Sus scrofa: one gene and its partner. The protein of the gene in region 2 purifies or fractionates together with the protein of the main gene of each other region. This does not show direct contact. Links are inferred from orthologs where the notes say so. Each region holds a gene or a part of one and is shown on either strand. Other genes may lie near its edges.

Region 1 (11,282 bases), on a different chromosome or scaffold from region 2:
ACAGGCTTCTTTAGCTCTGGGCTGCCAGCCGCTGCCTCCTCCCCACCTCCCTCCCCCACACCAGTTTAGGTGCTCATGTCCAGAAGGACAGAGAGGAGTTGCCATCGTTTCTCAGCGGTCAGCAAACCTGACTAGCATCCATGAAGATGCAGCTTGGTCTCCCTCAGTGGGTTAAGGACCCAGCGTCGCCGTGAGCTGTGGTGTAGGTGGCAGACGTAGCTCGGATCCTGCGTTGCTGTGGCTCTGGTGTAGGCCAGTGGCTACAGCTCCGATTGGACCCCTAGCCTGCGAACCTCCATATGCCGCAGGTGCGGTTCTAAAAAGACCAAAAAAAAGTGCAGACGCACAGAGAGGCCTGGGCTCCAGGCTCTGCCCCATGCTCTGGCCTACTTGGAGGACCCCAGACCCTGGCCCAGCTCCTCACTCCGACCCCCTACCACATTTGAGTTTGAGTTCTGACACTCAGCCACGAGCCCTGCCCTCCAGAAAGTCACCTCCCCACTAATGGGCAATGTCTTCCTTGCCAGCAGGATCAAGAATCACAACCCCTCCTGTGCCACCCAGAGGAGTCTCCCGTGTCCTTGATGCCCTCAATGCCAGCTCCTCCCTGCTGACCTTCCACTGACCCCTCTCCACACCAGCCCAGATGCTCAGGCTGCCATGTCTCAGAAGACACTAAGCTGGGTCCTCAGGGTGCCTTTGACCTGGACTCATGTTCACCACCATTCCCCCTTCCCCAATGTCCCTGTCCCTCAGCCTTCTCCCACACCCAGGGCTGGGAGCCTTCTGTCCTGCCCCCTCCTCCACCCGACATGCCTGAGGCAGCCCTGGGGGGATGGAGGGATGAGGCTGCCTCTGCCTCATCTCTTGTGATTCGCTCTCACAAGGACAGGAGCTGCTTCCCTTGGCCTCAGAGCTCTGAACTCTCCCAAGCACTGACCCCACTGAGTGGCCAGTCAGGAGGCACCATAAATAACTCCAACCTGGACTCTGCCCACCCCGCCCCTTCACCCACCATGTGGGTGAACATGCAGTACAAAGCTTACCTTCTTAGTCCTGTAGCCCAGCCTGGGGACCAAAGAGAACAGTCAGCCCACACAGCCTTAAGCTGGTACCCGCACTCAACCGTGTTTCCTCCCTTCTCTGCTCCTCAGTTTCCTCTTAACCAGAGTTCCTGTTATGTCTCAGTGGGTTAAGAATACAACCTAGTGGATTTCCTGCTGCGGCGCAGCAGAAGTGAATCCAACTAGTATCCATGAGAATGCAGGCTCGATCCCTGATCTCGCTCAGTGGGTTAAAGATCTGGCATTGCCAGGAGCTGTGGTGTAGGTCGCAGATGTGGCTCAGAACCCACATGGCTCTGGCTGTGGCGTAGGCTGGCAGCTGTAGCTCTGATTCAACCCCTTAGCATGGGAACTTCCATATGCTGAGGGTGCAGCCCTAAAAAAGCAAAAAAAAAGGTCCACAACATAGTGTCCTTGAGGATGCAGGTTTGATCCCTGTCCTTGCTCAGTGGGTTAAGGATCTGGCATTGCCGCAGTTGCAGCATAGGTCTCAGATCCAGTATTGCCGTGGCTGTGGTGCAGGCCGGCAGCTGCAGCTCCGATTTGATCCTTAGCCTGGAAATTTCCGTATGCCACAGGTGCGGCTGTAAAAAATAAATAAATAAATAACAATGTTTAAAAAAAATTTTTCCTCTTACCAAGTTGGGTCAATAGTTGCTTACCCCCACCTCCAATGGCTATCTCTGAGGGTTCCATGATCAAATGTGTGAGGTTTATGAATTCCTGCTATAGGGCTGGGGCTTAATAACCACTGGGAAAATCGTAGCAATTCTGTTTATTGTTATTTTTTCTGTCCTGCCCAGTACAGCATGGAGCGCCCACTAGTTGCCCCAAGCGGGGTTACTTAGTCTTGCAGAAGCTTCTACAAAGGAAATGGGTTTTGTGAATGGCTCCAAAAGGTCAGATGGGGGATTGTCCAGCTATTGGGGACTTCAGGGGAACCCCAGCTTCCATGAATGTGGCCATGCAGGCTGGGGTTTCCCCAGAACTGGAAGGGACCAGGCTAGGGAGGCTGGGGGACTGGGCTGTTTTCTGGGCCAGGGATGGGTGTTTCCTCCCGTGCAATCCAGACCCTTGTCCCGTCAAGGCCCTACAAAGTCTGAATGTCTCAGTTACTTCCCTGACACTCCCAGCCTTCTCGCCTTTATCTGGACTGTTTTTTTTTTGTTTGTTTTTTTTTTAATCTTTTTGTCTTTTTGCCATTTCTGGGGCTGCACCCACGGCATATGGAAGTTCCCAGGCTAGGGGTCTAATCGGAGCTGTAGCTGCCGGCCTGCGCCAGAGCCACAGCAACACCAGATCCAAGCCAGGTCTGCGACCTACACCACAGCTCATGGCAACGCTGGATCCTTAACCCACTGAGCAAGGCCAGGGATCGAATCCGCAACCTCATGGTTCCTAGTTGGATTTGTTAACCACTGAGCCACGATGGGAACTCCTATCTGGGCCATTCTTTCCTCCCTCCCACACTGCTGTCCTGTCCACACCTTCCCAGGCTTACAAACCCAGATGTGCCACCTCTACCCGCAGCCTGGGGCAACTCTCCCTCTGGTAGCTTTATTTCCCAAACCTCACTTCTCCCATTTTACAGAAGGGGAAGTTGAGGCTCCACCACTTGAGGTGCCCAGCACAGTCCCAGGGCAAACCTGGCTCTGGCTGATTCCTGCCATCCTGGGTCTTCCACGGGCTGATCCCTCACCCCCACCCCATGTACACACTATAGGCTTTCAGTTATGACTGCTCCGACTCGGCTTCTCCTCCAGCAAGGGAGCTGGCTGAAAGGAGGGATGGCCTGCTCTCCCCAAGCCCTGGAGGATAGAAAGAAGAAATGCCAGATTTTTTTCTCTCCCACCCCCAAGCCAGGAGTGGGGGACCAAGAGAAGGGAGGTGCCCCTCCCTGCTCTGGCTTCTGCTTTCTGGCCCAGCTGTGGCCAAGCCTGAGTCAGCCTCACGGGACCACGCTGTTGGATCTGGAGCTTCAGGGCTGGGGAGCCTGAGAGGGGGAGGGGGAGAAAGTTGGGAAGAAGGGTCCTGGGCCAGGCTAGAGGGAGGGAACGGGGATGCGGCAGCCCCTGCCCACTCTCAGGCAGAGGATCGGCCACCCCCACCCACATCAGAGCACAGGGTGGGAAGGCAGGGTCTCTGGGCTAGGGAGGCGGGGCGGGGCTAGGTCAACCTGGCCGCCCCCAAGAGGGATCCCTGGGCCCAGAGTGGCCCTCCTAACTCTCGGTCTTGCTGTGTCTCTGTCTCTAAGCCCCCACCTCACCTCTGCTCAAGATGCTCAAGCCTCACACGGCTGGTCGGGGCTGATTGCGGGAAAGGGACGGGGGAGATCGAAGAGCAGCTCATGGTCCATGCGACTGGGGGCCCAGCACCTGGTGGGGGTGGGGGTAGGGTGGAGCTCAGGTGGAAAAGGTACACCCAGAGAGGGAGAGAGAGGAGAGAAGAAAGAGAGAAAGAGAAAGAAGGAAAGAGAGAGAGAAGTCGAGATGCTTAGAGACGCCGCCCGGGCCCCCGAGGGGCGTGGGCACCAGGGGGCGGGTTCGGCAGGGGGGCTGGGCCACCGCCGGCTTAAAGGCGGCTCTTTCCCGGGGCAGCTGCTTCTGCCGTCGTACGTTGGCCCCTCCGTCGTGATGGCCTCGTCGCCTCTCCTGCCGTTCCTGCCTCTGCTGCTGCTGCTGCTGCTGGAGGTCCCCGCGGCAGCGCCGGCGTCCCCGCTGCAGTCACTCCTCCAGGGGGCGGCCCCCTGCAAGGTAGGGACGGCTACTCGGCGGGAGGGACAGCGGGGACTGGCGCCCCAGTAGGGGGCCGGCGGCTCCTCCCCTCTCCCCAGACTTCGGCGGAGTCGACCGGGCTCGGGAAGGTGCTTCTCGGATCGGTACTGACCCCCTCAAAAAACACCCCGCCTCGCTGGTCACACTTTCCTTTCTCTTTCGCTTCCTTCTGAAATCTGAGTCGCTCAGCTATCCCCCACCCATCCCCCCGCAATTCCCCCACCCACCCCCCGCAATTCCCCCACCCCATCCCAGGGTGCATTGAGCACCTACTGTGTACCTCTGGAGCGGGAATCAGAATCTCTCTTTCAGCCCAGGGGAAGCCCGGATTACCTAAGCGCCCACCCGCATTCGTCAGGGGCTCCCGGGAGGAGCTCGCGTGTTTCTGGTGCGGAGGAAGCAGATGCCCCGGAGTCTGAGCGACTTGCTCACAGACGCGGGCGACCGCCACCCCTCAGCTGTAGCCGGAAGTCAGCACCTATTAGGCGCCGCCTCTGCAGTAGCCTTGGGAGGGGTTCAGTGAGCCCGCTGAGAGGAAGAATTTAAAAAGGAGTCAGCGCGGGTATAGACGCTCGCTCAGCTCCCGGCCAGGGCTCTGGGGATGAAGTGACAAATGAGCATGCTTTCGCGGTACGCACCGCTCAGAAGGCAGGATTGACGGCAGGGATCAGAAGTGAGCATGCCTTGAATTCTTACTGCTTGCAGTCCCCCCGCGTGGGGAGTTTCACCTAACCTGGAGGAAAGCAAGACTTGTGCATACATGAACTGCCTACTGTTTTCGAATCTTTTTCACATCCATTTTGCAGACAGACTGAGATTTAGGAAGATTTAGGGATGCTGTGAAGCCTTTAAGTCAGGATTCCATCTGGCAAGGTCTGGAAGGAGTGTATCACTTCCTGTTTGCAGCTCTTTTTCTGCAAGAGAACCAAGCAGGACTTCGTTTGATTTCACACCCCTTTCTCCCACGCAGGCCGGTGAGCCATGCCTGCAGAGACCCGTGGGGAAGTCTGACCCTCCACCTGTCAACGTGAACCTCTACTATGAGTCGCTGTGCAATGGCTGCCGGTACTTCCTAGTCCGAGAGCTCTTCCCCACGTGGCTGATGGTCTGGGAAATCCTCAATGTCACACTGGTACCCTATGGAAACGCCCAGGTGTGTGGGCACCAGGGAAACTGGGGGCACTCGGCCAGGGGAAGGGAATGCGGCTGGTGGGGGGCAGCCAGCATTTACCCCATTGCCTTTCAGGAACGAAATGTCAGCGGCAGGTGGGAATTTACGTGCCAGCACGGCGAGCAGGAGTGCAAGATGAACAAGGTGGAGGTGAGCAGCCCCAGAGTTCCCGAGTGGGGGGCATAGAGGCTGAGGAGTCTACTGGTGATAAGGAAGGTGAAATCAAGACTCAGAAGGGATTGCCTTATGTCCTAAGGATACCCTCTTTGATATCACTAAGAAGATAACCTCAATCAATATTGCCTATGCCTGTTCCTGCCCACTAATCTTGCCACCTTCCTTAATCCCACTAATAATAATCTCATCACCTTCCTTAATAAAAGTCATGTGGGCTAAAGCCTAGGTGCCTTTGTTCTACGGAACAGAGGAACAGAGTACCTCCTGGTCCCCCACTTTCTAAATGTAAAAAAAAAAAAAAAAAGAAAAAGAAGGGATTGCCACAAGCGCCATTCTTTTTCCTGTGTGCCTCCATTTAATCACTTCTTCATTCTCTATGTTGGTTTTGTCTGTTCATTTGTTTGTTGATTGGTCTTTTTAGGGCCGCACTCTTAGTAGCATATGGAAGTTCCCAGGCTAGGGGTCGAATCGGAGCTACAGCTGCCAGCCTACACCACAGCCACAGCAACGCCAGATCTGAGCCTCATCTGTGGGCTACACTGAAGCTCATGGCAATGCCGGATCCTTAGCCTACTGAGCGAGGCCAGGGATCCGACCATGTCCTCATGGACACTAGTCGGGCTTGTTAGCGCTGAGCCACAAGGGGAATTTCCCTGTCTCCACTTTATTTATGGACACCCATGATTAATCCCAGAGTGGTCTTGGGGTACTCAGGTCCCCCCCTCATGTCCTCCCCCTCCCATCCCCACTCCCAGGCCTGCCTTTTGGACAAGCTGGAGAAGAACATGGCCTTTCTGACCATTGTCTGCATAGAGGAACTGGATGACATGGAGAAAAATCTGGAACCAGTGAGCAATGCCCCTCCTTCCACCTGAGTTGGGGGACCCTGGCCTCCCTACATCCAGACAAACCCAGGTTCAAGTCCTGGCCCCCAACTGCCGCTCTCTGAGTAGCCCCAGGAAAACTGCCTCCCCTCTCAAAGTCTCAATCTCTGAATCAAGAGAACAAAGATCTTCCGGGGACGTGGGTAGGTCCGAGAGGGCTTCCTGGACCAGGTGCCTCTGAGCTGGGCTTGAATGAATAGGAATGTGGAGGGACCCAGATGATGATCCTTCTCTAGGGTATGGGGCCCCCCTACCTCCCTGGAGGATTATGAAAAAGAACTCCCAAAGGAGTGACTCATCTGCCCCGATTGCTTATTCATTCATCAAACATCTGGGCTGCCCAAGAGACCTGAGCCACCCTGAGACACCTCCAGCTCTACAGAGTCATAGTGTGGCTGGAGGAGTGCAAAGGAGGAAGGAACACTCAGGAGACTCAGGGGAAGGAGGAGGAAAAGTGTTCCTGACAGAGGGAACAACATGTATGGATGCTCTGAGGAAACCGAAACACTCTAGGGGTCTGGTCTGGTCTTATTGGAAACAGGAGCAGCCTGAGCCCCTGCTCTCAGGCATGTATTAAGCACCTGATGTTTATGGGCTTTGCTGTACCCCTGTGAGTCCAACTGTCCCCTGTGAGGAAACAGAAACGGCTTGGAGGGGCAGGCAGTGCTGGTTGGGAGTTCCTGTTGGGGAGATAAGAGGGAGGAACCTGAGGCAACGCTCCAACTGACCAGCTCCCCCTCTGCCCTCAGTGCCTGCAGATCTATGCTCCAAAAGTATCCCCAGACTCTATCATGGAGTGTGCAATGGGGGACCGTGGCATGCAGCTCTTACACATTAATGCCCAACTCACAGATGCTCTGAAGCCACCCCATGAATATGTGCCCTGGGTCGTCGTCAATGGGGTAAGAACTATTGCAGCCCTCAGGTCAGCCTCCAGGCAGGGACCTGGGTGATGGATGTGCCCAATGGTCTGGGAGCAGCCGTCCGGGGCCACACTTGGGACAATTTGCAGCCCCTTCTGGGCTGAGCATGGGTTGATTGGGGTGGGTGGGACTTGTGACCTCCTGTCATGCTTGTGCAGAAACCTATGACAGAGAAGGACCAGCTCTTACGCCTCGTCTGCCAGTTGTACGAGGTAAGCCGGACAGGGAACAGAGGGATCCAGCTGGTGGGGATAAGGTCTCCTTTCAGGACCCCAACTCATGGCTATCTTCTCCAGGGTGAGAAGCCGGATGTCTGCCAAATCTTGGCCAGCTCCCACAAGGAAGTCTGCTTCAAGTGACAGCTGGTGCCCTGAGAGAGAGCTAATACAGGAAGAGCAAGATCCCACCTGCCCTCATTTTCTGATCCCTGACTCTCAGCAGCCACTACTCATCATGCAGATGATGTCTACACATTCCACAAAGCCCAGACTCAAAATTCTGCCCCAAGGTCAAGAATCTTGCCCACTGAGAATGGTGCTACATTGAAACTTGTTTAATAAACACTTTGAGATGTTGTGATTCATTTGATAAGACGGAAAACCCCCTTCTTCCAGATCTGTGCAATCCTGGGGCCCCTGTGAAGCCACCTGTCCAGGGGATGCAGAGCCAGCCAGATATCCCTAGCCCCATTGGGGGGGGGGAATGGGCCAGAGGGGGAGGCACCAGAGCTAGAGGAGCCCAGAAGAGAGAAGGTTCTTCATAGGTATGGGGGCTGAGGTTTTGAAGGGTGACTAGAAGTTCATCCAGCAGAAAATGTATTTATCAATTCAACAAACATCCCTATCTCCCCCCTTTTTGCTGACCCCACACTGGGTACTATGGGTTGAGCCAGAGGATGTTAACTAGGGCCAGGCAAGGCCAGAGGATGGGGCACAGACCTTGTCTGGGGAGTTTGAAAGAATGGTGTTCCAGGAAAGGGGAAAAGTATGCAAAGGCCCAGACAGCAGCAAAGTCGGGAGCTAGAATGCCAGGCTGAGGCACCTGAGAACAACTGGGTGTGTGATAGGATAATTGTGAAAAAAAGGAAAAACCATGATTCTCACACTGATGACAAAAGAATACACAACAAATATTTTATTTAATCATGTTTAATGAACCTGGGCAGATGTTCAAAAGACAGAGATTTAGAGATTAGAAATATTGAAATAATTGTGCAAAACTGACTTGTTCACAGGGGCAGGGGACAGGCACATTCTTCTTTCCACCTAGCTTTATTGCGTTTTTCTAACTTTAATACAATTGACCCTTGAACAACATGGGTATGAACTACATAGATCTACTTCCATGTGGTTTTTTTTTTTTCTGCTAAATACATACTACAGTCTTACATGATCCCAGGTGGCTCAGCGGTTAACAAATCCAACGAGGAACAATGAGGTTCCAGGTTCGATCCCTGGCCTTGCTCAGTGGGTTAAGGATCCTGTGTTGCCATGAGCTGTGTTGTAGGTTACAGATGTGGCTCAGATCCTATGTTGCTATGGCTGTGGTGTAGGCCTGTGGCTACAGCTCCAGTTCAACCCCTAGCCTGGGAACCTCCATATGCAGTGGGTGCGGCCCTAGAGAAGACAAAAAAAAAAAAAAAAAAAAAAAAAGGCTATTTTCTTGGCAAATTCCAATTATACCAAAAAGTACTGTTTGTTGGTGTGTTTGTTTTTGTTTGTTTCGTTTTTGCTTTTAGGGCCGCGTCTGTGGCATATGGAAGTTCCCAGGTTAGGGGTTGAATTGGAGCTACAGCTGCCTGTCTACTCCAGAGCCACAGCAACATAGGATCTGAGTCATGTCTGCAACATACGCTGCAGCTCACAGCAGCACCAGATCCTTAACCCACCAAGCGTGGCCAAGGATCGAACCCTCATCCTCATGGATACTAGTCAGGTTCTTAACCCACTGAGTCACAATGGGAACTCCTACCAGACAGTACTGTTAACATTAGTCACCATGCTGTACATTAGATCCTCAGGACTTACTCATCTTACAGTGAAAGTCTGTGCCCTTTGACCAACATGTCCCCATCTCCCCCACTCCTCAGCCCCTAACAACAAAGTTCTTCTGTTTCTATGAGTTTGGCTATTTTATTTATTTTATTTATTTTGATGGCTGCACCCACAGCATATGAAAGTTCCTGGGCTAGGGGTCAAATTGGAGCTGCAGCTGCAGTCTACACCACAGCCACAGCCACACCCGATCTGAGCTGCATCTGTGAACTATGCTGCAGCTTAAGGCAACAATGGATCCTTAACCCACGGAGCGAGGCCAGGGATTGAACCAGCATCCTCACAGAGACAATGTCAGGTCCTTAACCCACTGAGCCACATGGGACTCTGAGCCGACTATTGCATTTTTGTTTTTTGCTTTTTAGGGCCACACACTTGGCATATGGAAATTCCCAGGCTAGGGGTCAAATAGGAGCTACAGCTGCCAGCCTATACCACAGCCACAGCCACGCCCGATCTGAGCCTCAACTTCGGCCTACACTGCAGCTCACAGCAATGCTGGATTCTTAACCCACTGAGCAAGGCCAGGGATCAAACCTGTGTCCTCATGGATACTAGTCGGGTTCATTACCACTGAGCCACAACAGGAAATTCCAGAGTTTGGCTATTTTAGAATCCACATATAAGAGAAACCATACTATATTTGCTAATTTCACTTTGTATAACACCCTCCAGGTTCATCTCTGTTGCCACAAATAGCAGGATTTTCTTCTCTTTTTTTCATGGCTGAATAGAAGTTGGGTTGTCCCTTTTGTTAAAATTAATCTCTAAGCAAGACCTTCACTGGCTGGTCCCATTAGACTTGCCCTGATTATTTACGCAGGTGCAGCAGGTGCCTCTTTGCTTTACGGGAAGCTTCCATAAGGAATCTCAGAGTGGACTTCTCAAAGTCTCTATCATTTACTAACTGGAGACGAGAACTCAAGTTTCACCTGCAGTACCCATGATACCCATGACCTTTTTTTTTTTTTTTTTTTTTTTGGCCATGCCCTCGGCATGCAGAAGTTCCCAGGCCAGGGATCAAACCCGAGCCACAGCAGTGACAACACCACTTCCTTCACCTGCTGAGCTCCAAGGCAACTCCCCAATTTCTCTCTTATCTGAAGTTCCCCTGCTATGGCAAGGATCTGGATTGACCTCTAAGGCAAGCCAGATTTCCCATAAGGCTTTTGTAAACACTAGCTCCCAATAGTCTGACTTGGTTTCTTTTTTCTTTTTCTTTCTTTCTTTCTTATTTTTTATTTTTTATTTTATTTTTTGTTTTTTAGGGCGGCACCTACAGCATATGAAAGTTCCCAGGCTAAAGGTTGAATCGGAGCTGTAGCTGCCGGCCTATGCCAGAGTCACAGTAATGCCAGATCCAAGCTGTATCTGCAACCTACACCACAGCTCATGGCAACACCAGGTCCTTAACCCACTGAGCAGGGCCAGGGATCGAACCCGCATCCTCATGGATCTTAGCTGGGTTCATTAACCCCTGAGCCGCGAAGGGAGCTCCCGTGACTTACTTTCTTGAAACTGGCTGGTGAGGAGTTCCCGCTGTGGTGCACTGGGATTGGCAGTGTCTTGGGACCTCTGGATGCAGGTTCAATCCCTGGCCCGGTACAGTGGGTTAAGGACCCGGCATTGCCACAGCTGCAGCTTAGGCCACGACTGTGGCTCAGAACTGATCCCTGGCCCAGGAACTCCATATGCCATGGGGTTGCCAAAAATGGGGGAATAAAAATGGAAATTTGGAGTTTCCATTGTGGCTCAGCAGTAGCGATTCCAACTAGTATCCATGAGGATGAGGGTTCAATCCCTGGTCCTGCTCAGTGGGTTAAGGATCTCGTGTTGCTATGAGCTCTGGGGTAGGTTGCACATGAGGCTCAGATCTGGCATTGCTGTGGCTGTGGTGTAGGCCGGCAGCTGCAGCTGATTCGACCCCTAGCCTGGAAACTACTATAGGCCAACTGTGCAGCCCTAAAAAAACAAGCAACAAAAAAACAAACGAAAGGTAGAGAAAGTGAAAAATGGTAATTTGCCAATAAAGAAGAGACACCTGGAAGACATCCCCTTAACACTGTGATCTGAGTTCGTGTCACCAGGGTAAGTCATGTGGTATCACACACCCAAGTGACACAAGGAGGACATCACCTTTGTGGGATTCTCCCCAAGATCCAGAACCCCAGTCTAATCACGAGAACAGCACCAGAGCCCAGAGAGAGGGACATCCTACAATGCACAACTGATCCT
Region 2 (11,206 bases):
ATGCTGTGGGAACGGCCCCAGAAATGGCAAAAAGACAAAAAAAAAAAAAGTGCACCCCTATCAAGGAGGGCGCAAGGGTCCAGCCAGATGTGAGAAATAAAACAAGGTAACTGGTCAAAGGAAAACAAAGACTTGGAAGAACTGTCCCATATAAGTGATTTAAACCACCTCTTTGGTGCGCTCCTTATTCAGGGGGACGCCCACACCCACGCTCCCCCTTTGGGTGTGTATTACTGTCTTGCTTCTCCCTTAAACCAACTACTTCTCTGTGTGGTCTCCCACGTGTTGTACTGTGTCCATAATAATAAACCTTGTAGGTGTTCCCATCCTGGCTCAGTGGAAACGAATCTGACTAGCATCCACAAGGACCCAGGTTCAATCCCTGACTTTCCTCAGTGGGTTAAGGATCTGAAGGTGCCGTGACCTGTGGCGTCGATCTGGCGTTGCTGTGGCTGTGTCTGTGGCCGGCAGCTGAGCTCCAATTGGACCCCTAGCCTGGGAACCTCCATATGCCGAGGGTGCAACCCTAAAAAGACAAAAACTGAAAGATAATAAAAAAAGCAACCTTTGGACATGCTTTTACAGTCTTGGCCTCCTTGAAACATTCTTGCTTTGAACAGGGGCAAGAATCGGGGCAATTCTGCTTTTAGTCTCTAAATGTCTAGTGGCTAGAATTCCAGGTTTTTGCCCAGGCTGCCCAAGTTCAATTCCTGAACAGAGAATTCAGATCTCCCTTCAAGTTATCACTCACTGCTATCCCTCCAAAGTCCTAGACAGACTAGGAGAGAGAGCAGGTACCAACCCCGGGCCAAGAAAGTCACACAGAAGAGTTCACCTGGTGAGAAGCAGTGTGACCTTTGTTTGATAGTGACCAAGCAAACTTGTAGTGAGAAAAGTAGGACAAAAACTACCCTGGCTTCATTCTCCTTCCTTCTCCTTGACCTCAGGCCAGGTTGCCCATTGGCCAAACTGGCCTGCAGCCAGAGGACAAGGGAGTGAGTTAAATAATCTTAGCGCTCAGGAGTTCCCTTCATGGCTCAGTGGTTAACGAACCCAACTAGGATCCATGAGGATGTGGGTTCAATCCTGGCCTCACACAGTGGGTAAAGGATTCTGTGTTGCTGTGAGCTGTGGTGTAAATCAAAGATGTGGCTTGGATCTGGCGTTGCTGTGGCTGTGGTGTAGGCTGGTGGTTACAGCTCCGATTGGACCCCTAGTGTGGGAACTTCTATATGCTGTGGGTTTGGCCCTAAAAATCAAAATAATAATAATAATAATAATAATAATCTTACAGCTCAGTCTGTTGACCTGTAAGGGTGGAGAAAGGTAGATAATACATCTAGAGAAATAAATGGATTATATCTACACCACCACATTCTAATGGAATTGTCTCTTTGCTCTTTAGTCTCCCTCACTGGACTAAGTTGCTTCAGGACAGAAAATGTTTTACTTATCTTTGCATCCTTAGTATCTATACTAGACAATAAATATATATCAGAGAATAAATGCTTATTGATTGATTCAGAGAATATGGTAAATTGGACACTACTTGGAGGATTGTACTTTCTAACCTTGCCATATGCTTCCTGGAAGCCAGGGGCAAATGGAGAAGAGAGTGAGCTCTGTAATTTTCATTGTCTAATTTAATCAGGAGTGATACATTCTCTTAGCACTCAGTGCTAAGAGGAATTTCAGTCATGTGACTGTCTACTTAAGAGGCATGCAACTGTATAATGGGCACTCTCTTCAATAGGGAAACCACAGGTACAGAAACATTCTTCATGAGGCCATTTAAAAATCATTAGCCCTTGGGAGTTCCCTGGTGGTTCAGTGGGTTAAGGACCTGGCATTGTTACTGCTATGGCTCAGATTGCTGCTGCAGTGCAGGTTTGATCCGTGGCCGGAAACTTCTGCATGCCATGGACGTAGGCAAAAACAAGCAAATAAACCAAACCAAACCAACAAACGAAAAACAAATGTCTTTAAAAGTATATATCTATTAGCCCTTGATAAAAGCCAAAGGCAAGTTATTAAAAAATAACCCATAGAGTCCCTGTTGTGGCTCTGCAGTAACGAATCCAACTAGTAGCCATGAGGTTTGATCCCTGCCCTTGTTCAGTGGGTTAAGGATCTGGTGTTGACGTGAGTTGTGGTATAGGTCATGAGCTATGGTGTAGGTCACAGACACAGCTTGGATCCTGTGTTGCTGTGGCTGTGACATGGGCCAGCAGCTGCAGCTCCGATTAATCTCTAGCCTGGAGACTTACACATGCCACGGATACAGCCCTAAAAAGACAAAACAAAAACAAAAACAAAACAAAACAAAACAAAAAACAACAAAAACCCAAAGGTAAACTGAGCTAGTGTGTTTCACTTTGATTTATCTTAGAACATCTTGCCCAAGAAATGGTTAAGCCTCAGACTTCAAACTTGACCCCCCGAAATAAATCTCCAATACAGTCCTCTATGGATTCTCTCTTCTCTCTTCAGAGAATGAAAAATATCAATGGAGAAACTCAATGCACCAAGGTAACCATGGGTCTATGAAAAGGCAGAAGCCTGGGTCCCTGAATGACTATGACTATTACAGAGCCCTTTTTCTGGTCCCTGCAAACATCTGTGCTGAGAGCAAGAAATAAACCATGAATGTGTCAAACTTCCGAGATCTGTGGCATTTTATAGCAACAGTTATTTTACCCTGATTAATGCAGATTTAAAATAATGTCCTAAATTCTCTACTTGAGTCTGTTTTAAATGTTATTACCACGATTATCATAAGCCATAGTCCATAACATCATCAAGTTCTTTTCATGGAAGTCCCTTACAGCTTGAATCTCATAATTTCAGGATTAATAGTTTAGTTATCCTCCATGGAAGAGATGTCTTTCAAAGTTCTTCTTGCTTGGAACATGACAGAAAATGTAATATCAACATTCTGGTGTCTCTTACAATGTACAAGGTCCTGTTTCATGCATTATCTCTATTGAATCTCCCAGCAACTCTGAGGAATACACCGGGTCTATTATCTTCCTCATTTGGCAGGTGGTGGAACTGAGACGAAGAAGGTGTAGTATAAAGTGGAAAAAAACAACTGATTTACAGAGTTGTTTGAAGATTAAGCAAGAGATAATTTCATCTGCCTGGCATGTGGTACACATTGAGTTAGGTTTTCTTATGAGTTATCTATTGCCTCTAATAAACCACCCCAAGATAGTGACTTAAAACAGTACCAATCATTTATGCTACTCACAGAACTTGGGCTGTGAAGACACGAATAGCTGGGGGTGGGGGTGGGGCTGGAACAGCTGGCTTCCTTGGGCTTCTCTCTGTGGTCTCTCCACATGGCAGCCCCAGGGTAACCATGGCAGCTGAAGGCTTCCAGAGTGAGTGGAGAGAGCAAGAGCAAGAGAGTGAGCAAGAGAGAGTTTTAAGCAGGCAGAAGCTCTAACACCTTATGGCCAAACCTTAGAAGGATGTTACACCGCATCACTTGTACAGTTTCTTAGAATCAAGCCACTCATGCCAACTCGTATTCATGGGGAGAATTAGACTCTGCATCTTCATTGAATGTCTGGGCACATTTCCCTCTCTAAAATGCTTGCCTAAATTAGGGCAGATGTGAAACTCAGAGGAAAGGGACCCAGCCAGGGTCATTCACAGCTAGGGTTGAATGGTTCCACCCATACTGGATCCAATTTTGTGACTCCCAAGCCCTGCCTGCACTTTTTTGCTACTGTAGAAGCTCTCCTGTGATCAGCATGTAGAAAAGACATGCTAGGGAGTTCCCGTCGTAGCTCAGTGGTTAACGAATCAACTAGGAACCATGAGGTTGTAGGTTTGATCCCTGGCCTTGCTCAGTGGGTTAAGGATCTCGCGTTGCTGTGGCTCTGGTGTAGGCCAGCGGCTACAGCTCCAATTAGACCCCTGGCCTGTGAACCTCCATATGCTGCGGGAGCAGCCCAAGAAATGGCAAAAAGACCAAAAAAAAAAAAAAAAAAAAAACATGCTAGTCCCCAAACGGAGCCAGTCCTTCTCATTGTCTTGGAAAACACACATTTATTTCACAGGAAAAATATTACCCTTAAAGCAGTCATCCATCAGCATTTTCGAATTTTCCAAGAATCTGTTTCCCTCCAACAGATGTATTCAGTTGCATTTCCCCCAGATGAATCATTTTTTTTTGTTATTATTTTTGACTGCATTTCTCACCTCTTCAGATCCTTTTGTATCAACTCTCAAACGAACCACTTATCAATTTCCCAATTTGGAATCTTGATTCCATCATCATGAACGCATGCCCTTCCTTTGGGCCATTGAATGAACTGTTCTTTAAAGAGGAAGGTCTGACATAAAGCATAAGAGCTGATGGGCATTCCCCGCCCCCTTCAAAAATTTTTGTTGACCTAAAGAGAGTGTAAACCATCTCATTTTAGAAAATCTGGAAATTTGAACCATGACATGGCTCTGAAATCTCAGAGGGTTTACAAAGTTTTAGTAATTCTCAGTTCTCTGAAGGAGCTTTTCAGTTTTAGTGATTCCCCAGCAGTTCCTATGGGAAATATCCTTTCTGTTCCCCCTACTCCAGGGCTTGGTGGAGGCATGGGGTAAGAAGTAGAGTGTATGGAAAGGGGAAAAAAAAAAAAAAAGATAAGAAGGAGTTCCCGTTGTGGCTCCGCAGTTAGCGAACTGGACTAGCATCCATGAGGACATGAGTTCAATCCCTGGCCTCGCTCAGTAGGTTAAGGATCTGGCATTGCCCTGAGCTGTGGTGTAGGTTGAAGGCATGGCTTGGATCCTGCATTGCTGTGGCTCTGGTGGCTATGGTTCTGATTGGACCCCTAGCCTGGGAACCTCCATATGCCATGGGTTCGGCCCTAAATAGACAAAAAAAAAAAAAAAAAAAAGAAGAAGCAGAGAGTATGGATAAGGGTCTCCAGTAGACATGGGGTCTCTGTGTAGAGCAGCACAGCCCACTGAAATAGAACTGCAAACCACACAGGTACTCATATTTTCTAGTATCTGTATTTTAAAAAGGAAAAGGTGAAATTAATTTTGATAATAGCTTTTGTTTAACCCAACACATCCCAAATATTATCATTTGAACATGCATTTAATATAAAAAATATTCAAGTCTTGGAATCCCATGTGTATTTCACCCTTCTTGGACTCTTCATTTGGGACTAACCACATGTCAAGTCATCTGTACTCAATACCATATTGGACAGCACGCATAGACCTTTCATTTCTGCTGCTTCCTTGGGCCTCTGAGACCTAAAACCTTTCTTCTCTGGTTTCATACCTTCTTTTTTATTTTTATTTTTTTCATTTTTTGGCCACCCTGTACATCTGAAGTTCCCAGGCCAGGAGTCAGATCCGAGCCATAGACGTGGCCTTAACTGCAGCCGCTGCAACACTGGATCCTTAACCCGCTGTACCGGCCTATGGGGGAATCGAACCTGCGTTCTTCCCAAGATGCCGCTGATCCAGTTGTGCCAAGGCGGGAACTCCTCATACCTTCTTATAGTTCAAATCCCAGCTCAAAAGCCCTGTCCAGGAGGGGAACGCCACCTAATGTGGCCCACTCCCGCTCTGTCATTCTCTATCTCATTATCCTTCAATTTTGTCTCCATAGAATGGATCTAAAGTGATCTCGTTTATTTGCTTACATATTTATTGTCTGGCTTCGCCACCATAATGCAAGTGTCATGAGGGCAGGGATTTTTTTAAACCTATTACGCTCCCTGCGATTTCCTGGTGCCGAGCACAGTGCCTGGCCCACCCTAGGCGCTCAGGACACATTTGCAGGACATTTCCCTGGAATCCCGCCAAAGGAGGCAGGTCTCGGCGTGTCACAGGTGGGGCGCCCACGGTGCGCGCGGCCGCGATGGCTGCGCTCCCCACGCGGGTGCGGGGTGAGTGGGTGTGTGCGGGGGTGTGCGCGGTAGAGCGCGCCAGCGAGCCCCGAGCGGGGAGGAGCAGCCAGCGCAGCACAGCACCCGCAGCAACGGCCGGGCCGGGCAGCTCGGAGGTGGGTGGGCCGTGTCGCCAGCCCGCCCGCGGGGTCCCCCATTGGCCGCCTGCCGGCCGCCCTCCGCCCGGAAGGCGGCGAGGAGCCGAGGGCTGCTCTGCAGCTGGAGCGGGAGAGCTCAGCCGAGCCGACGCCGGGCGGACGCGCGCGGGATCAGCGTCCTCACTTGCTGCCTCCCTGCGCTCCCGCCGCCGCCCCGCTCGCTCCCGGCGCTGGCGCCTACCGTTGGCCTCGGACAGCGCTCCGGAGGGACCCGGGCAGCTCCCGGGCGCCCGGGTGAGTGGCCGCGCGCGGCTCTCCGGCTCCTCCCGGGCCCCGCCGCCTGCTTTTGCTTTCGCGGCCGCGGCGCGGCGGGGTTTGCCCCGGCAGCCGCCTGGACCACCGGGAAGGCCGAGGCGGGGTAAACTTGACTGCGGGGAGAAGTGGGATCACAGTCGGGAGGGGCCCCCGGCCTCGTGGGGCGGGTGGAAACAGGTGGCGCGGGCCGGGCGCTTTGTGTCGAGGCGCGGGGACCGGGAGCGGGCGGCCGCGCCTCCCTCGGCCGCTCCCTTCCCTCCCTTGCTCCCCCGGGCGGCCGCAAGCCGGGTCGGCCGGGTAACGGAGCGGGAGTCGCCAGGAATGTGCCTCTGGGGACTGCGTGACTCGAGGGAGGAGAGAAGGTGGCCGGGGAGGTGCGGGAGCCGAGAGGTGGCGCGGGGGCTGCACCGCCGCTGCAGGCAGGAGAGGGATGCTTCCAGCGAGCAGTGTTCCGCCCGGGTGAGGGCTTCATTCTTCCGCGGCGCCCCTGGAGGTGGGGAGCTGGGTGGGCGTGTGTGTGCAGAGAAAGAGGAGGCGGGGAGGCCAGCCACTTCCGGAGCCGATTTTGATCCTAGCCCAGCGCCTTGCTTTCGGGGAAGCGGACCTTGGGGTGCGGTTGTGCTCGGCCCCACGCGTGCGCGGGCGATGCGGGGCTGGGGGCGTCCCTGGCTTGGGTTTAACAAAGAGTGCTCCTCTCCACCCGGAGGGGAGGGGCAGCTCCGGAGAGGTGGTCTTCAGCAAGTGGGTCTTAGCCCTGGGGAGAGGTACTTCCTTTGGGAGTTGTCATTTTGTTATTCTTATTACCTTTTTTTTTTTTTTTAAAGGACGGGACTCTCATGCATGAGGGGCCCACGGAGGCGCAGGAGCAGGAGCGGTGGTGATGGTTTGGGAAGCGGAGCTGAAGTGCGCTGGGCTTTGGTGAGGCGTGACAGTTTATCATGACGGTGTTCAGGCAGGAAAACGTGGACGATTACTACGACACCGGCGAGGAACTTGGCAGGTACTGGGGGTGCCGGAAGCGCACGCTTCTGGGTTGTGCGAATGCATGTTATTGCAAGCAGTGGGCGGTAAACAAATGCAGTTTGAAATCAGGCGTCTCCCTTGCCCTTCCAGGAGACACGCAAATTATAGAGAAAAGAGTTACTAACCCAGTGACGACCAGGGACCAGAAATAAACGACCTAATCCTGGGGGCTGGGGGGTGGAGGGGCGATTTCAGTGTTAGATTATGACACAGGGTGTATGGATCAAGACTCCTGGACAAGAGATTTAATTGTCTGCAGTAACTCTTGTCAGCCGTGGTCCTTCTGCCAGAATAAGGCAGAAGCTGAGATATAATTGCGGCTGGAGTTCGCTCTTATGTGTGATTTAGACGAAGTACAAACTGATTAATAGGCTTATTTTTAAAAGCTTAAGACTTGCCCTTTTTCTGAGTTTTCAAGAGTGATATGCACAAGTATAGGTAGGTCACACATGGAGACTTGTCAGATGTTGAATTGGATTTTGAAACTTCCTTGAACCATGAATTTAATTACGTGGTTGGTCTCAGTGGTTGCTCTGGTTTCATTCGCAACGTTAAATTTTTAACAAATCCCTGATTGAGAGTCTAATATGGCTATCTGGATTCAGAGCATACTTCCAGTGCTGTGGGAGGGAGCTGTGATTCTGAATGTGAAGCCTTTCAGTTCCAGGTGAACAAAGAAGGATTTCATTGGGGGCCTCCAAGGGCTGGATGGGTTTCCCTTTCACCAGGGATTTGACAGGGTAGGTAGTGCCCTGGTCTAACTTTAGCAGAAAAGCCAGATTCCACACCCAAATTTAAATTCAACATTGGGAATTTGACTGCAGCGTATTTATGTTGTGAGTCAAGTAGATAAAAGGATCTTTAAGCAAACAAAAAAGTATGTGTTTATTTCCATGTGTATCAAAATACATCTTTTTTCATAGACCCCTGATGTCCCCTGATTCAGTGCTTCCTTTTTTTCCCATGAAAAGGAAATTCAGAAACACCCACACCCTAGATTACCTAACAAGAATTGTGAAAGTTGATTTTCACTAAAATGATTTTTCAAGTGATAGTTCAGAAAGGAAGTGACTTTTTAAAAGTTGCTGTATCAGAATATTTCTGTCCACATTTAGTATGGACCTGAAGTCATTGGGGGCTCATGCCTAAGAGGAGCTAACTGTATGTTGGGGATTTACTGAGTGACTAAATGAAGGGAGCTCTCAAAAGTCATATTTTGGTTGTACAACTATAAATATAATAAAATTCATTGAATTATTTTTAAAAAGTCATGTTTCCTGGATATGTTTAAGGTTATGGTTTAAGGGCATGTGGTTGAAATACTTTGTTTACCTAGAATGAAGTCACTTTATTCCTGCGTGGTTTTCCTTTGGTAGCAAGGGAAAAAGGTGAAAAAAATATATTTTAATTCTGTTTGTGTAGTGTGGCCTGATTATATAAATTCTCTCCTAAAGAAGGATGATTCAAAGTAGGTGAGATGATTGCTTTATAGATTAAATATGTTGACCTTATTTTCGTGAAAATCTTTTGGTAGAATTATGTGTTATGAGAAGAGAAAAAAAATGAGGCCTCCCTGTGGCTAGTGAGGGAGTTTGTGATCTTTATTTCGTGGGTGTGATGACAGGCCCTCTGCCTCTTCGATGACAAGTGGTTGGCTCATTTGTCACTAGTATTTTGCTTTGATTTTGGCTTGTTCTACGTTTCTGTGTATAATTTTGCCCCGACTGTGCAAGACTAATTGACAGATTGTTTATTGAATACTTTATTGTAGGTGACCTGTGAGTTTGAAAGAAGTGCTCTGAAAAACTGGGAGGTGGAGATTTTTAAAAATAAAGAATGCATGCTGTCTGTTTGATCTTTTGTTTAGAAATGCAGTAATGGGTGGGGTTTTTTTTTTTCCTCCTCAAGTCGTATGCATTTTATGTCTGCTGGGAATTACCTCCTTCCTGAAAACAAATCCTGACATGAGATAGACATAATAGGAAAGATGCTGCTCTCTGTGTCACTGAGACAAGATGGGATGTGGAGGCAGGAGCTTAGTGGCAGAAAACAGAAATTGGCAGATATTTAACACAAAAGTGAGGTTGTTCTAAGCAGTGAGTTATAAACTATTCAACATCTGGGATGTAAGACTTTCCCTATCAGAGTTCCTGTTATGGCTCAGTGGCAAAGGAATCTGACTAGTATCCATGAGGATGCAGGTTCCATCCCTGGCCTTGCTCAGTGGGTTAAGGATCTGGCCTTGCTGTGAGCTGTGGTGTAGGTCGCAGACGTGGCTCGGATCCGTGTTGCTCTGGCTGTGGTGTAGGTGGCTATGGCTCCCATTGGACCCCTAGTCTGGGAATCTCCACATGCCATGAATGCAGCCCTAAAAAGACCAAAACAAAAAAGAAGACTTTCCCTACCTATCTTTGGCGGCAATCTAAATAACAGCTACTCGCTTACCTTGTAAATGTACTGAGTCAAAGTCCGTAGCTACAGGAGGGGAAGGTGGGTTTTTCAACAGGTAGGAAATAGCATTATGATTGCTACTGCTGTTACTTTACTTTTAGAAAAACAGAGAGTATGTATGTACGGGGGTGAGAGTGTGTGTGTGCCTGCCTGTCTGTCTGTCTATCTGTCTGTCTATGTATATTAGTGTGTGTCCTGCCCAGGACTACTGTCAAAAGCTTTCTGTCAATCCTAAAGAACTTAAAAAGTATTATGATTATTTGCAGTAGTGATAGAGCAGACAGGTATTCTGGTCCAAAATTGACTCTACAACTGGCTGGCTCTATAACCTGTAAGTGAAGAAGTCACCTACCTTCTCTGACCCGCTGGATCTTCATCTATAAAATGAGAGGCCTGGTGCTTAGTTCATGGCTCTTGTGAATGTCCAGTCATCTAAGCCATGTAAAAGTATTTTATCAGCAGTCAAGAGTTAAACAAATATTGATATAATCGGTAGGACTGGCCAGGACATGTGAGTATTCCAGGCATGATAATAACTTGGTTTGCAACTCAATATTCTTTTAAGTGTCTGTTTACCAATTTGGGGCAGGGAGGTCCTGCTGGCTAAGGGTCATGGGGGAGAACTGTGCTGACAGCCTTGGCCCTTCTGCTCTGATTCCGAATAATGCAGCTCTGGCCTTGAACTTGCACACCCTCCAGGTGGCAACAAGTCCCTGCAGTGAATGGTCCTGTCACCTATAGAAGATTGCTGGGTGACCTGTGTGTGAGTCCAGGAGGCCCTTTGGTTCTCACCCTCTGTTCTAGGAGGTAGACTAAAGAACTAATGCTGTCACATGTCATGGTTTTGGGGAGGAGTTCTTATACCTTTGGATTTCTCCATGTGCTATTACACTGGGTCATTTTGATGTCCCAGGTGCCCTAGCATCTCTTATCAGTTGGCACTTGGGGCTGCTGAAGACTGGCTCATCCCGCCATTGGGCTCCAGTTACACTCTGGGCTGTGGTTGAGCCCAACTTGTGAGCTTTCTGGGCACTTTCTGAGCGCTGCTTTCCTCAAGGACTGGCCTGTCTTCCTCTTCTACTGTCTGACCTTATGTGATCTTAAGATCTGGCTCCCATCTCCTGAGTAACTCTTTCCACAACGATTTGTCCCTCTCAGAAACCAGACAAAGCTGGTTGCTGTCTAAAGCTCCACTGGTCATGGCCGCAGACTGCCCCCTCCATGCTCCATCGTTGCTTTGTGTTATTAACATTCTCGTATTGCTCCATTCAGCTGGCTTGAAACGTTCCTTCAGGGTGTGTGCTGTATAATTCTGGGCAAAAGTTTGATCGATGCCTGAATAAGCTCCTGCAGGCCGGCAGGCAGGTACTAGACTGAGACCAGAATGGGGATTTGAGATGCAAATGA

Evidence for each region.
Region 1: the proteins of DAPK1 (region 2) and IFI30 purify together in Homo sapiens (affinity purification with mass spectrometry; 3 studies listed by BioGRID and IntAct, counting the BioPlex papers as one, with this or other methods). This does not show direct contact. The link is inferred for Sus scrofa from reciprocal best matches to the Homo sapiens genes DAPK1 and IFI30.

The regions. Positions count from the first base shown.
Region 1 is NC_010444.4:59,626,064-59,637,345, reverse strand, and holds IFI30 (gamma-interferon-inducible-lysosomal thiol reductase precursor), read left to right. Parts: upstream 1-3,631; 5' UTR 3,632-3,697; coding exon 3,698-3,817; intron 3,818-4,171; exon of another isoform or gene 4,172-4,571; intron 4,572-4,808; coding exon 4,809-4,991; intron 4,992-5,084; coding exon 5,085-5,159; intron 5,160-5,941; coding exon 5,942-6,034; intron 6,035-6,819; coding exon 6,820-6,972; intron 6,973-7,151; coding exon 7,152-7,205; intron 7,206-7,289; coding exon 7,290-7,352; 3' UTR 7,353-7,584; downstream 7,585-11,282. UniProt on the Homo sapiens protein: Lysosomal thiol reductase that can reduce protein disulfide bonds. May facilitate the complete unfolding of proteins destined for lysosomal degradation. Plays an important role in antigen processing.
Region 2 is NC_010452.4:27,949,250-27,960,455, reverse strand, and holds the start of DAPK1 (death-associated protein kinase 1), read left to right. Parts: upstream 1-5,758; 5' UTR 5,759-5,855; intron 5,856-5,877; exon of another isoform or gene 5,878-6,251; coding exon of another isoform or gene 6,252-6,797; exon of another isoform or gene 6,798-6,818; intron 6,819-6,819; exon of another isoform or gene 6,820-7,066; intron 7,067-7,149; 5' UTR 7,150-7,263; coding exon 7,264-7,325; intron 7,326-11,206. Other genes in the region: basic proline-rich protein-like, read right to left, coding at 3,247-3,375, 6,252-6,797. UniProt on the Homo sapiens protein: Calcium/calmodulin-dependent serine/threonine kinase involved in multiple cellular signaling pathways that trigger cell survival, apoptosis, and autophagy.